Struthio camelus: one gene and its partner. The protein of the gene in region 1 purifies or fractionates together with the protein of each later gene. This does not show direct contact. Links are inferred from orthologs where the notes say so. Each region holds a gene or a part of one and is shown in the gene's direction. Other genes may lie near its edges.

What was found.
Region 2: the proteins of OTUB1 (region 1) and SLC7A11 purify together in Homo sapiens (affinity purification with western blotting; 5 studies listed by BioGRID, with this or other methods). This does not show direct contact. The link is inferred for Struthio camelus from reciprocal best matches to the Homo sapiens genes OTUB1 and SLC7A11.

What each region holds. Positions count from the first base shown.
Region 1 is NC_090976.1:1,104,882-1,112,421, reverse strand, and holds the start of OTUB1 (ubiquitin thioesterase OTUB1), read left to right. Parts: upstream 1-4,524; 5' UTR 4,525-4,663; coding exon 4,664-4,718; intron 4,719-5,423; coding exon 5,424-5,485; intron 5,486-5,753; coding exon 5,754-5,852; intron 5,853-6,623; coding exon 6,624-6,742; intron 6,743-7,125; coding exon 7,126-7,210; intron 7,211-7,540. Other genes in the region: NAA40 (N-alpha-acetyltransferase 40), read left to right, coding at 1-1, 90-173, 252-329, 718-859. UniProt on the Homo sapiens protein: Hydrolase that can specifically remove 'Lys-48'-linked conjugated ubiquitin from proteins and plays an important regulatory role at the level of protein turnover by preventing degradation.
Region 2 is NC_090945.1:32,140,518-32,147,800, reverse strand, and holds the start of SLC7A11 (cystine/glutamate transporter), read left to right. Parts: upstream 1-4,227; 5' UTR 4,228-4,544; coding exon 4,545-4,821; intron 4,822-4,977; exon of another isoform or gene 4,978-5,052; coding exon of another isoform or gene 5,053-5,110; intron 5,111-7,283. UniProt on the Homo sapiens protein: Heterodimer with SLC3A2, that functions as an antiporter by mediating the exchange of extracellular anionic L-cystine and intracellular L-glutamate across the cellular plasma membrane.

The sequences.
Region 1 (7,540 bases):
GGTGGGTGCCTCGCTCCCCCCGGCAGGCCGGATCCCGGCCGGCGCGGCGGCGGCCGAGGCGCATTTGTTTGCCCCTCCTTTCCCCTCAGCTACGAAGTGCAGCTGGAGAGCAGAGTGCGGCGGAAAGGGCTGGGCAAGTTCCTCCTGCAGATCCTGCAGCTCGTGGCCAACAGGTGAGGGCGGCGGCGGCGGCGGCGGGCCGGGCGCGGGGCTGCGCGCGAGCTCAGCGCCGCTTGCTCTCCTCCTCCCAGCACGCAGATGAAGAAAGTCATGCTCACGGTATTTAAACACAATCACGGCGCCTACCAGTTCTTCAGGGAAGCGTTACAGTAAGCGCCTTCTCCAAACTCTCCTCCTTTTCCCTTTGTGTGTGTGTTGGTTCCCCCCCCCCTCCCCGTTCCTGCCTCTCTTTGCCCCCGGGACGGGAGGGAGGGCGCTCTCCGCTTCGCCGCCCCGCGGCGGGGCTGGCGCTCGCCCGCGTAACCCGCCGTCCGCCCGACTGTCTTGCAGCGCGCTGGCGACGTGGTGCGAGAGGGGGCCGGTGTAGACTTAGGATGGCGGGGAGATTTGGGTGGAGCGGTGCCAACGGCGCCGGCCGGCGGCTCGACGGCGGCCTGCAGAGGTGGGTGCGCGAGTCCCCGCGGCGCCGGCCGGCTCCGCGCCCGCCGCCGCCGCCCCCCGGGGCTGACGCCGCCGCCGCCGCCCCCCTGCCCGCAGGTTCGACGTGGACGACTCGTCGCCCAGCGTCTCGGGCTGCTGCGGCGACGACTGCTCCTACGAGATCCTCAGCCGGCGCACCAAGTTCGGCGAGGGCCAGCAGGCGCACGCCGGCGGCCACTGCGGCGGCTGCTGCCACTGAGCGCCGCCCTTCCTCCCCTCTCCTCCTCCTCCGCCGCGCCGCGGGGGCAGCTCCCGGGGAGGAAGCGGCCTCCGGCGCCTCCTCTGGGTGTTGGTTTTACTTTTTTATTTTTTATTTTGGGGTTTTTCCCCCCGTTTTTTCTCTGCCACCTCGCTGGAGTCGAAGGGATCCCACGTCCCCCCCCCCGGCCCTTTCCCCTCGGTTTTGTTTGTACGTTGCCAATAAAAACACTTTGTCAAGGCCTCGCGCTGGTGGCGCCCGCTCGGGGGGGGGGGGGGCAGGACGCCTGGGCCCCCTCCTCGCTCCCCCGAGGGGCTCCTGTGGGGTGCGAGGACTACGTTTCCCAGCAGGCCCTGCAGCTTTTGCCCCCCCCATGAAAGAGAGCTCCCAGCGTGCCCTGGGGTGGCCCCACAGTGTGTCCCAGCATGCTTTGCTTCCCCCCCCCCCCCAGCAAGGGGGAGCAGGGAGCGCTACAGGCGTGTGCTGGGACACGGGACCCGCCAGTGCAGGCGTGTGCTGGGACACGGGACCCGCCAGTGCAGGCGTGTGCTGGGACACGGGACCTGCCAGTGCAGGCGTGTGCTGGGACACGGGACCCGCCAGTGCAGGCGTGTGCGTGCAGCAGGGCCCCCCAGTGCAGGCGTGTGCTGGGACACGGGACCTGCCAGTGCAGGCGTGTGCTGGGACACGGGACCCGCCAGTGCAGGCGTGTGCGTGCAGCAGGGCCCCCCAGTGCAGGCGTGTGCTGGGACACGGGACCCGCCAGTGCAGGCGTGTGCGTGCAGCAGGGCCCGCCAGTGCAGGCGTGTGCTGGGACACAGGACCCGCCAGTGCAGGCGTGTGCGTGCAGCAGGGCCCACCAGTGCAGGCGTGTGCTGGGACACGGGACCTGCCAGTGCAGGCGTGTGCTGGGACACGGGACCCGCCAGTGCAGGCGTGTGCGTGCAGCAGGGCCCCCCAGTGCAGGTGTGTGCTGGGACACGGGACCCGCCAGTGCAGGCGTGTGCTGGGACACGGGACCCGCCAGTGCAGGTGTGTGCGTGCAGCAGGGCCCCCCAGTGCAGGCGTGTGCTGGGACACGGGACCTGCCAGTGCAGGCGTGTGCTGGGACACGGGACCCGCCAGTGCAGGCGTGTGCTGGGACACGGGACCCGCCAGTGCAGGCGTGTGCTGGGACACGGGACCCGCCAGCTCCAGGCAGGACCCACGAGCACACGGCTGGACACGGCACCCCCGGCGTGCGCGCAGGACCCACAGACACAGGCGGACACAGCTGGGTGCGGGGGACACGTGAGCAAGCTGCACGCGCAGCCACAGGCCGTGACCGGGAGACGCGGCGGGGCACGCGTGGGACACACAAACGCGGGCACGTGCCCAGCCGGACACGGGGAGGGCGCGCGAGCGCAGAGCCGCGCCACCGGGCAGGCGAGGCGTGGGGGGCGGAGGTGCGCCCGCAGCCGGGCACGGGGAGAGCGCGCGAGCGGGGCGAGGCAGCCGCACGGACGTGGGACGGGCACGCGGCGGGGGCCTGGCGGCGCGGGGGGGGGGGGGACACGCAACAACCCGCCGTGGCCACACGGAGGGCACGGGTGGGGCCGGGGTGCGCACGCCTGCACACGTATGACCGGGGTGGGGGGGGCAGGAGGGGGCGGGGCCGAGTCGAGGTGGGCGGGGCCGAGCGCGGAGGGGGCGGGGCTGAGCCAGAGGTGCCCAGAGGTGGGCGGGGCCGAGCCGAGGTGCGCAGAGGTGGGCGGGGCCGAGCGCGGAGGGGGCGGGGCTGAGCCAGAGGTGCCCAGAGGTGGGCGGGGCCGAGCGCGGAGGGGGCGGGGCCGAACCAGGGGTGCGCAGAGGTGGGCGGGGCCGAGCCGAGGTGCGCAGAGGTGGGCGGGGCCGAGCGCGGAGGGGGCGGGGCCGCGGCAAGGCGGGGGCGGGCGCGCGAGGGGGCGGGCCCTCGCCGCCCGGCCCCGCCCCTCCTTCCCTCCGCCCCCTCCCCGCCGCCGGCGGAAGTGACGCGCCAGCCGCCGCCACTTCCGCCCTGGCCGCCGCCATGCCGCTCGCCGCCCGCCTGGCCCGCGCTCTGCTGCGCCCCGCGGCCCGGCCCGGCCCGGCCCGGCGCGGCCTCGTCTCGGGGCCGCCGCAGCAGCCGCTGGGGCCCGCGGTGAGCAGCGGAGCGGGGAGGGGGGGGAGCCGGGGCCGGGGGGCGGCGGGGGCGGCGGGTGACCTTGGCGGCGGCGGCGGCGCTGACGGGGCTCTGCCCGCAGGAGACCGTCGTGGGCTTCGCCGCCATGTTCCTGAGCTGCCTGGGCCCGGCCGCCTGGGTGCTGGCGCACCTCGAGGACTACAAGAAGCGGGAGTGACCCCCCCTTCCCCCCCCCGCTCCGCCGCGACCCCCCCGCCGCTGCCGAGACCCTCTGCCGGCGCCGCACCGGCACCGAGGCCCCGGGACCAGCGCGACTCTGGAGCGGGGCTGCCGCGGGGGCACCGGCACCGCTGGGACCCCCGGACCCCCGTCAGCGCCTCTAGGACCCCCCCGGGGCCACCGAGACCCCTGTCAGCACCTCTAGGACACCACCGGGACCCCCATCAGCGCCTCTGGGACCCCCTGGACCACTGGGACCCCCATCAGCACCTCTGGGACCCCTCCCAGACCCCTGTCAGCACATCTAGGACACCACCGGGACCCCCATCAGCGCCTCTGGGACCCCCCGGACCACTGGGACCCCTGTCAGCGCTTCTGGGACCCCTCCCAGACCCCTGTCAGCACCTCTAGGACACCACCGGGACCCCCGTCAGCGCCTCTGTGACCCCCTGGGACCACTGGGACCCCCGTCAGCACCTCTGGGACCCCCCCGGACCACTGGGACCCCCGTCAGCGCCTCTAGGAACCACCGGGAACCTCATCAGCACCCAGGACCCTGTACCAGCTCTGCTGGGAACCCCACTAGACCCCTGTCAGCACCCAGGACCCCACACCGGGACCATCGGGACGCTGCTGGGACTGCTGGGACCCCCATCAGCACCCAGGACCCTGTACTGGGACCACTGGGACCCCCCCCCAAGACCACCAGAGCCCTCATCAGCACCCAGGACCCCACACTGGGATCACTGGGACCCCCCCCCTGGGACCACCAGGACCCCTGTCAGCACCCAGGACCCTGCACTGGGACTGCTGGGACCCCCCCGGGACCACCAGAGCCCCCATCAGCACCCACAGCCCTGCACTGGGACCACTGGGGTGCCGGCTCCCCCTCCCCTAATAAAGGCTGCTTGATGCTCTGTCTGTCTCTGCCTGTCTCTGCCCGGACACCGGGGTCCCTGGGGGTGATGTCACCTGGCCTCACTTTGAGGTCATTGGGTGACATCACAGCTCTGGAAAAGGGGGGGGGGGAAAGGGAGGTGCTTGGTTACCATGGTGAAGCTCAGCCCTTCTGGGGGGTGGTTGCTAGGGGATGAGGGTTGGTGCTAGGAGCAGTAGCTAGTGATGGGGGCTGTTGCTAGGGGTGGTTGCTAGGGGCTGTTGCCCACAGGGGTCGGGATGGAGAGCGGTTGCTAGGGAGTTCCAGGGGAGGGTGGTTGCCGGGGCGGTTGCTAAGGACCGGAGCCAGTTGCCAGGGGGCGGGGCGGTTGCCAGGGGCGGGGCCCGTTGCTAGGGGCGGGCCCGGCGGCCGGGCCCGGCGCGGGCGGCCGGAGGCGGTTGCTAAGGCGGGCCCGGTCGCCAGGGGCGGTTGCTAGGGGCCGGGAGCGCTTCCGGCGGGGCGGGCGGTGACCCGGAAGTGCTGCGGGGTGCGGGGCTGCAGCAGCAAGATGGCGGCGGAGGCGCCTCAGCAGAAGCCGGAGCCGCTGGGGGGGGACGCGGACGGTAACGGCGCCGCCGGGGAGGGCCGGGGGGGCCCGGCGGGACCCCGCGGCCGGTCCCCCCCCAGCGGGAGCCCCATCGCGCCCCGGTGACCCGCGGCCCCCCCGGCAGGGCCCCCCTCGGGGCCCCGTTACCCCCCGGGGACCCCCATCATGGCCCCCCCAATGCCCCAAACGAGGATCCCCGTAGCGGGGCGCAGCCCCCCCGTGGCCCCCCCATGGGAACCCCCCTCAATGGGGCCCCGGTACCCCCGTCCCCCCCCGGGCTCCCCCAATACCCCCACGGGGGCCCCGATGCCTCCCGTGGCCCCCCCAGCCCCCCAATGGGGCCCGGAGCCCCCTGGGGTCCTCAATACCCCCGATGGGGCCAGGACCCCCCTTATGAGGCCCTGGTGCCCCACGGACCCCCCCGCTGCCCCCCAATGGCGGCTCCGATACCCCCTGTGACCCCCCCCAACCGCCCTCGGGGTCCGGATCCTCCCCCCGGGGCCCCCAAAGCCCAACGGGGGCCCTGATACCCCACGGTGCCCCCCCAACCCCCCCTCGGGGACCTCGTTAATGGGGGCCCCGCTGCCCCCCTCCATCCACGGGGGTATTTGGGGGGGTGCAGGACCCCCCAAAAATGGGGCTGGGCCTGAGGGGGGGGGAAAACTCCTTGGTCCCTTTCGGGGGGGGGGGGGGGCAGCTCTGACCACCCCCCCCCCCGCAGGAGTGAACTGCCTGGCCTACGACGAAGCCATCATGGCGCAGCAGGACCGGATCCAGCAGGAGGTGAGGGCGGGGGGGCCCCAAATCCTCCCCCCGGGGGTCCCCCCAAACCGCTGCGCCCCCCTCCCGCCCCCGCCAAGCCGGGGGGAACCCCCCTCCCCCCCTCCCGCCGCCTTTACCGCGGGCTCCTCTGCGGTGGGGCGGCCGCGGACTACAGCTCCCAGCGTGCCCCGCGGCGGGGCAGGGCGGGGAGGCGGGGGTGGCGCCGCGGGGCACGCTGGGAGCTGTAGTCCGCCGCGGGGCCGCATCCTGACCCGCGGCGCCGGCGCAGATCGCGGTGCAGAACCCGCTGGTGTCGGAGCGCCTGGACCTGGCCGTGCTGTACAAGGAGTACGCCGAGGACGACCACGTCTACCAGGAGAAGATCAAGGTACTGGCGCGGCGCTGGGAGCCCCGTCGCGGCACCAGTGTGGCACTGGGAGCCCCCCTTGTGGCACTGAGAGCTTTCTCAGGGCACCAGTATGGTGCTGGGAGCCCCCGTTGTGGCACTGGGAGCCCCTTCAGGGCACCAGTGTGGCACTGGGAGCCCCCGTTGTGGCACTGGGAGCCCCATCACGGCACCAGTGTGGCACTGGGAGCCCCCGGTGTGGCACTGGGAGCCCCGTCACGGCACCAGTGTGGCACTGGGAGCCCCATTATGGCACTGAGAGCTTTGTCAGGGCACCAGTATGGTGCTGGGAGTCCCGGTTGTGGCGCTGGGAGCCCCGTCACGGCACCAGTGTGGCACTGGGAGCCCCCATTGTGGCACTGGGAGCCCTGTCAGGGCACCAGTGTGGCACTGGGAGCCCCATTATGGCACTGAGAGCTTTGTCAGGGCACCAGTATGGTGCTGGGAGCCCCCGGTGTGGCTCTGGGAGCCCCGTCGCGGCACCAGTGTGGCACTGGGAGCCCCCCTTGTGGCACTGGGAGCCCCGTCAGGGCACCAGTGTGGCGCTGGGAGCCCCGTCATGGCACCAGTGTGGCACTGGGAGACCCCGTTGTGGCACTGGGAGCCCCATCACGGCACCGGTGTGGCACTGGGAGCCCCCGGTGTGGCGCTGGGAGCCCCCGCGCGGCGCCGTGCCGCATCCCTGCGCTTCGCAGGGCGCCCCGCGTCGCCCGGGTGCGGCGGGCCGGCGTCACCGTGTCCCCGCGTCCCCAGGACCTGCTGCAGAAGTACTCGTACATCCGCAAGACGCGGCCCGACGGGAACTGCTTCTACCGGGCCTTCGGCTTCGCCCACCTCGAGGCCCTGCTGGAGGACAGCCAGGAGCTGCAGCGGTGCGCCCGGACGCCGGGGCCCCCCGGCTCCGGGGGGGGTCACCAGTACACTGGGGTCCCATGGGGGGGGGGATTGGGAGCCCCTGGACGCCTGGGTCCCCTGGGTGGGGGGCAGAGGGGTGGGGGGACCCGGCTGAGGGCCCAGGTGTCCGGGCTCCAGGTGAGGGCACCGAGGGGCTGGGCGGGAGCCTCGTTAGCGGAGCGGCTGCTAACGAGCCCCTCGTCACCCTGAGACGGGGCCCAGCTGGGCCCGGACGCCTGGGTGCGCTGGGAGGGAGGGGACGGGCTGCAGGGAGGGGGGAGATGGCCCCCCCCGGACGCCTGGGCCCCCCCCCCGGACGCCTGGGCCCCCCGGCCGTGGCGGCAGCCCCTCTCTCGGGCAGGTTCAAGGAGATCTCGGCCCGCAGCAAGGACGACCTGGTGGCGCAGGGCTTCACCGAGTTCACGATCGAGGACTTCCACAACACGGTGCGACACGGGGGGACACGGGGGGACACGGGGGGATGTGGGGACACGGCGAGGCTGAGGCTGCAGCTGAGACCGGGGCCGCTCGTGACACGAATGCGTGTGTGTGTGTGTGCGCCCCCCCGGGGACGTGCGTGGAGCGTCCCCACGTGATGCGCGTCCCCGCGTGACCCGCGTGGCGTGTCTGCGTGCCCGCGTGGCGCGTCACCCGCGTCACCCGCGCCCCCACGCGACGTCTCACTCGCGTCCTGGCGCGATGCTGGCGGCGTGTCCCTGTGCCCCGTGCGAGGCGTGTGCCCGTGACCCCGTGGTGCCCCGTGCAGCGTGTGCGTC
Region 2 (7,283 bases), on another chromosome or scaffold:
TGGCTGTATGGGTATTTTGTTGGAAGCATTTTACTGAAAATACATGAAATAATATTTGAATTGCTTTTGGATTTCTTACAGGGTTTTGTTTTAATTCTAAAGCCTCTGAATTGGAAATGTCTCTTATTCCTTCTCATATTTTTGTTTTTCTTCTAAATAACTTCTTGGTATCGCGCACAAAATGGAATGTAAAATGCTTAAGTGAGTAATTTGTTAAGCTCTGACTAGAATGTAAAAAAGAAACAAAAACCCCAACATTGTCAATAATTCAATTTTTAACTAAAACATTGACTTGTAGTAGAGAGAACAACAACTTGTTTTAGTTTTCTCACATTTTCAGGTTTTCATTAAAAGACACAAAAAGGGTCTTATCTACTGTGAGACCTTCACGTACTTCATGATGATACTATTCCAACTTAATTCCCACTGACACCTTCCCACTCCCCCCTTTTCTCTCCCCTAAAGGAGGGTGTTTTGCCCTCCTCTGACATTTGAAGCCGCAGTACCATCTTCCTACAGGGCTGGTTTTCTGGGCTCACACGCAGCTCAGAATTATACCGAGAAGACTCAACTCAGTTTAGGAAACTTTTCATGCCATGCCACCCACACAAGAGTCTGGGGCTTTCCTCACCTCTTTGGTCTTGGTATACTTCCCTTTTTTAAGTCGGGTGTCTCCAGCCACTGTGGCAGTGGGTGGCCTGCAGGCTTGACTTGTGACTCTTTTGATTTACTTGATGCAATAAGCTGATATACAGATGCCTGGAAGGGTTGTCAAGGTATGCTTGCTACACCTAGAAATTAAGCAGCTTTTGTGGGCTTGAGAAACTCAAGTCCAGGCTTGAATTTTAGGTCCTTTACTTGGCTGTGTGGGTGCTGCAACATTCCCGTAAAGGTTTTCCCCGGGGTAAATATCAGGATTCTTCCTTCTTCAAAACGAGCAGTATAACAGTGTCAAAGTGTGTGTTAGCGGCTGTACGACTGCGGAAAACTGAAGCGTCTCTGCACTAGGTATTTGCAGCCTCTGTAAGGCTGCTGTAACTTTATTGCCCACGGTGCTTGAGCGTTTTATTCGCAGGCACAGGGTAACGCAGGCGGCAGAAAGGTCAGAGCATGATATACCCCACGAAGGGGGCAAGCGGCGCAGGCAGCTGTGCTTGGCAAAGCCGGAGAGCAGCGCAGCGGAGCGATGTTTTACTGCAGCTCTTTGCAGACTGGAGGCGCAGGAAGGCTGGCGCCCGCTCTCGGTTAGCAGTTCTCTTTGAAACAGGCAACGGATGGACAGTTCAGCGCTGGTGGGAAGGTTCAAAAGGAGACCGTTGCACAGCGATGATCTAGGTCATGCTTTAAAGCGTTTGTTTAGGAGAACACATCTATGAAATGGGGAAAAAACAGAGAGAAACGTTAAAAGGCTGTGCACAGTGCCGGTTGCCGTTAGAGGCTGAAATTTTATTTTCAGAGCATCCTATTTAGGAAAGAATCCGTCGTTGCTTCAAATGTATTTATCAGTCTGCAGTAATTTATGCCATGTATCTTTTGCTTCCATGGCAGATTTTTGTGGAAGAACGCGACTGTTTTGAGGTTTGGGCAGGTCAAGCCCTGCGCTTTCAGAAGAGCCCTCTGTGAAAGCACACTGAACGCGGCGTGTGTTTGCGTCGCGATGCTACGGCCCCTTGCTCTGTGCTGAATAATTCGGATGAAAGTAGCTGGTGGGAAGAGTATCAGGGACTACAAATAATTCGATCAGATTTTGGGAGGGTATTGGATAATGTGGGGCAGCACGCAGCAATGGGCCTCTTTGGCTTTGTGCCCTCCTTGGGATAGGGCTCCAGTGGCAGATAATTCTCATGAAATTTCCAGAAAGCAACAAGGAGTCACCTAAAACCAGATGAATATTCCCTGCAAAGGGATGGTGCTGATAGGTTTGAACTCAGAGGACAAAAAGTGCTTCCCCCTCCCCCCACTTCTTTTTTAAACCTTTATTCATTTTTAGCAGTCAGCAGTGAGAAAGAGGTCTATGCAACAGTTGCCACCGGGAAAGCTGCAAAACAGCGTGATCCCTAGGAAGCTGCCAGTATTTAGAAAAAAAAGAGTTTGTTGCATCCAGCCTAATTTGCACTTTAGAAAATTCAGTGAGAAGTTCACATAGCCTTAAACTTTGCATGTGTGATATCCCTGCCCCACAGAGGAAGCCAGCACCCTTTTCCCCACACGGGAGAGTGTTAATAGCTGTGTCCGATGGGCAAACGTGGGTTCAGAGCATTTTTACGTGCTTCTGGCTAGTGGTCAAACAGAATTTGAAAGCCGTTACCGCATCCAGTGATTTTACTTAATAGCTGGTGTGGACGCCTGGATTGCTGGGAGCCGTCTCGGGATCGTCTGGAAGCTTATTGAACTTCTGATTTGATCTTGGAACTGCCGTCCCATTTAAATAAAGGATAAGCATTAGTCAAGAATGATTAACTTAAATTATTAGATGTTTTAAGATGTCATGTGCTTCTTCAGTAAGCAGCCTTTGAAAATTAAAATAAAGGTCATCAGGCAAGCCCAGTTCTGTGGTTAATGCTTTTTCCTGGTTTGATTTGATCTAGTTATTTAGCTCAGGCATTTATAACCTTCTAAGGGGACAGCCTATCAAGTGTACATCAAGGGAAAACAATTCTGCATAGCACACCACCTACTCATGGCTTGGGATTTATCTGGCACCATGAAAATTGGCTTGGTTTGGGCCGTTGGGTGAGAAGAGGCAGTCCTGGCTGCAGCCGGTCTGGGCTTCTCTGATGGGTCTGGCACCAGGTGCCCTGAGGACCAGGAGGAGAAGCTAGGTGGAGATGTGCAGGATCAGCTGCTGAGCACGTGAGCAGATGGAGGAGGAAGAAATAGGATGTGTTCAGAAAACAGGCAAGCAGAAGCAGCATGTACTCAAAAGCTAAAATCACTTTGTGCCTGTGTACATTTAAACCATGTAAGCTTTCTAATGCTCTGTCCTATCCCCGAGTAAATTATTACAGGAGGCTTTAAAAACACTGAGGTTTCACAGATGCAGCGTGTTGATGCTCCAGTTATCTCCTGTTTCTCAAACAAATCTGAAGGCACTGTTGTGCTCTGAGCTCAGTGCTCCCTTTTCAAATGACAAAATGTCAAACTGCTATCTCTCTCTCTTTTTTTCTTGTTGTAATCCTGGGTCCTAATTAAGCGGTAACTGTAAGAGCAGTAACTGCAGCAATCATTTCTCTTTGCACTGATCTAATCTGAAGCCTTGAGCAGCTGCAGTAGTTATGCTACGAAGGATTTTTCCCCTTTGGCATATACTGCGCAGGCTGTCCCTTGACTAGGCTACAAGTGCTTGGAGGCTATTGATTTTTGTTCTGTTTTATGAGAGTGTTTTTTTTAAACAGTTTAATTTCTCCTGCTTGCGTTTGAATTGTTGGGTAGCGAGAGAAAAGTATTTATGCATCTGATTACCCGTTTATCCAGTCAGAGAAGCTCTAGGATAACTCGAAAATCACTGGTTTCTGAGTGCCTGCAGATCCTGTGCTCTGTTGCGTTGCCCTCGTCCTGTCACATCGTAAAAAAGGTATTGCTGTAAACGTTAACAGGGTTTCTTAAGGGGAAGCGTCGCTGCCGGGCGGCTTACAAACATCCCAGAAACACTGCACGTATGAAAATTGCTGTACTATGGAAATAACCGAGATTTTTCATTAGCCCGATTCGGGCGTGTTGCTAGGCAACGCGGGGTAACGAGGGTTTACGTGGGCTCCGCCTGTAGATACTTACAGTCCTCGTGCGCCTTTCCAGGTGAGTAACGTAGACTTGAGGTAAGCTAATCGATTGCAACAGAACAAAAAGTTAGACCCCCGCAAACTTTAATTTCACTAAGAGGAGCTTTTGGCGGAAGAAGCTGGAAAAGACCCAGAGCTGACGTAGCCTGTTTGATTTCTTTTCCCCTTGCGCTCGGACCAGCCTTGTGTTTAGGCAGGCTTTTGTTTCTGCCTGCGAGTTGCTTTAAAAATTTGGGAGCGTGTCTCCGGGTGTCGCCGGCGGTGCGCGCAGCTCAGCTGGCTCCGTTTCCTTGCGAGCGCTTTGTCCTGCCCACCACGCGCAGGTCGGTTGTGCAACATGCCCCTACCGTTTCAGGGGGAAAAAAAAAAGAGAGAGAGAGAGAAATGCTGAGTAATGCCAGAGGTTTCTCAAATGGCTGATGCAAACCTGGAGAATTTGCATCATCATTCAGCTGGAGTAACTTGGTATGACAAGAGCTTAAATACAAGTCCACGCGGAAGCCGAGCTGGTTTCCAACGATAGGGCAGGACCAGCCAGCAGCGTGCAAGCGCAGGTGTTGCTGAGCAGGGCTCCCCCGACCGCAGGCACCGGGAGCCTCCTACCTGGGTGCAGGGGCAGCTACAGGAGGCAGGCACCAAGTGGTTCGTTTCACACGGAGGAAGGGAGGGGAAAAAAAAAAAAAACACCACCCTAACAACGACCCTGAGTTTGTGCTACAAACTTTTTGCCTGCGCTTGCCTTGGCTGTGCTGGGGGCACTGTAGCATGTTCAGGAAAGCTGCTGTGACTGCAGCCTCTAATGGAAACTACTGGCGGGGGCAACCCAACGGCAGGCTGCCCTCCCTGGACAGCGAGCAGCCGGCCCAGGAGGAGAAAGTGGTGCTGAAGCAGAAGGTGACGCTTTTGAGGGGGATATCCATCATCATCGGCACGATCATCGGCGCCGGCATCTTCATCTCGCCCAAGGGGATCCTGCAGAACACGGGCAGCGTGGGCATGTCCCTCTCCGTCTGGGCCGCCTGCGGCATCCTCTCCCTCTTCGGTAAGTCACCCCGGAGGGGCCGCCGCCGGATTAGCACTGTCACCGGCATGATTTTGCCATTGGATATCGAAGTGCAGTGCTGAGCTTGAGGACCAATGGGGCTGCAGGAGTTTTTTTGCGATTGGATAGGTACTGTCCAGGGCGCGGAGGCTTGCGGTCGCTGCTACCCCTCGTGCCTCCCCTTGCAACCGGAGCCCTTTGGAGAGACTGTAAGCGCAAACCGTGTTTCTTATGGGTCCCAAAAGTAAGAGGAAAAGGAAACGTCCAGTGTTATGGCAGAAAGTGTGCTGTATGTATGATGTTTTTCTTCAGGCTGTAAGACGTAGCCTAGAGTTTGCTTGCAAGGTGCTGGGGATACGGGCCGCTCCGTTTGGACGCTGGTGAAATGTTCAGGCAGTTGGACTCAGTTCCCCCCAGGCTAGATCGAGCTCTGGGAGGAAGAACACCTGCTGGACATAATCTGTATCGGCACGAAAGGGAGCAAAACGATAATAATGACCACCCCCCCCTCCCCGAGACGTGGATTTCTGCTTTCGCTTTGTTCCCCGCTCGCGATGCTGCTTGGAAAGATTGTGCTGCAAAACGTGGCGGGACAGAAACAAACTCCTAATGAGAGTTTTATTCCTGACCTGCCTATTGTGACAGTTTTTACCAGTTTTTGCTTTTAACGGGGTATTAAACCCCGAAGAGTGCCGGTTTATTTGTGGCGCGCGCACAAAGCCCCCGTTCAGAGCGGGAAACCTCACCCTTGCTGCTGAGGAACAGAGGGTCTATTGACCTCCTTAATGAGTTAATCTCAGAGAAGCTGAAGAACTAACATGAATATTGGCTTTATTTAAAACACAGACGGCTTGTTTTCTGGCAGGAGGTAAAGAGGGCAAACACTGACGAACACGTGTCTGCTTCAGAGGTGGAACATGCAAATGCCACCCTGTGTAAATTGGCTCTGAGCTTAAAAGAAGCATTGACTGTTTAAAGGAGAAGTCCACCCAAGCCAAACAGACAACGAAGGAAAGTTAGGACCCGTTTCGGTCAAACGTTAAACGTATTAGTACGATGCACAACATAGTCTGTTGCCCAAAAGTGGAAGTCCTGCTTGTAGGCAAAATCCCCCTGTAAAGGAGGACCTCAAATGCAATTTGTAACCCTGTCGTGCGACTCTGGTGTTTAGCTTTGGTTAAAACAGAACTTGCTTAAGTGTTGCCCGTTTAGGTTTAACTTTAATAGCAGTGATTTCGTAGCTGTGAAACACAGTTTGTAGGAAAAAATCAGTCTCTTTCATCAAATGGATTTTCTAGACCATTTTCCAGATCTTGAGAGGTGAAGAACTGTACAACTCTGCCCAGTAAAAGATACTGCCTCTCACTCTAAATGGATTTTTACAGTTACGTTTTCATAATTTTTATGTCATTAATGTATTTAATTCGCTGCATGACTTAGAGTAAAATTTCATACAAAGATCACTGATCACCTGAAGTCTTGGTGAGGCTCTCAGTGAAACATAATTTGATTTCATCCTGAATCTCTCCCAAAGAAGTTGCCAAGAAAAACCCCATCAACAGGTTTCTTAAACGCGGCTATAGAGTTGCTTTAAGCACGTTTTCAGGTAAGCTGAAGAATATCAGACAAAAGCTGCCATCTTTTGCAAAGCCCCAAGCAAGGCAAATGAACACAGGTGGAATTTGTCATAAAGTCATACAGCCCTAGTGGGCTTGTACGTGCTCTCCAGTTTGGCAACTGTAGTTCTCATCTTACAGCGCAGTAGCATAAAAGCACGTAGGGAACAAAGCCTAAATGACTTCGCGTACTTTGTTGATTTTAACTCTATGCGATGAGTGTTTGCAAACTTTATTATTGTTTTCCTGTGGCTTCTCAGGCGCTCCTAATAGAGTTGCCTGCATTTATGAGACTTGGTACACCTCTGCTCTACTGCCGCGGTCCCCCCGCAGAGCGGAGCACCAGCGGCTTCGTGACTGGATGATGGCCCATTAAGCAGCAGTAGCAGATGGTACCCGGGCCAGGATTGCTTCATGCAGGCCCCTACAGCTGCAGCCTGCTGCTGCCGGCGCTGCGAGGGCAGAGGATGCAGGCCGTGCAGGTGGCTGCCTCGGGCCGAGAGCTGCTCCTGCTTCACCGACGGGTGAAACAGGCCTCCTGCTAAGGAAACGTGAAGCTGTCCATAATATTTAAGGCAACGCAGAGTTTAACTGAGCTTTGATTGCGTTAGTAGTATGCCCCCAACTGTGCAAGCGTTGAAAAGCCAGGGCTAAGCCGTTCCCCAAGTCTTCTGCGTAAGGCGTTGACAACACTGCTGAGTAAAATTGTTAATCTGCAATTCCTGCTTCAGGATTTTGGTCAGTCGATTGCTTCACCCATGGCAAAGGATGGGGCATGCAGGCATGCCAGGCTTTCCTTCGGAGCCTTAACCTGTGATCGCTAGTGCTGAAAGCAGGCAATCATCC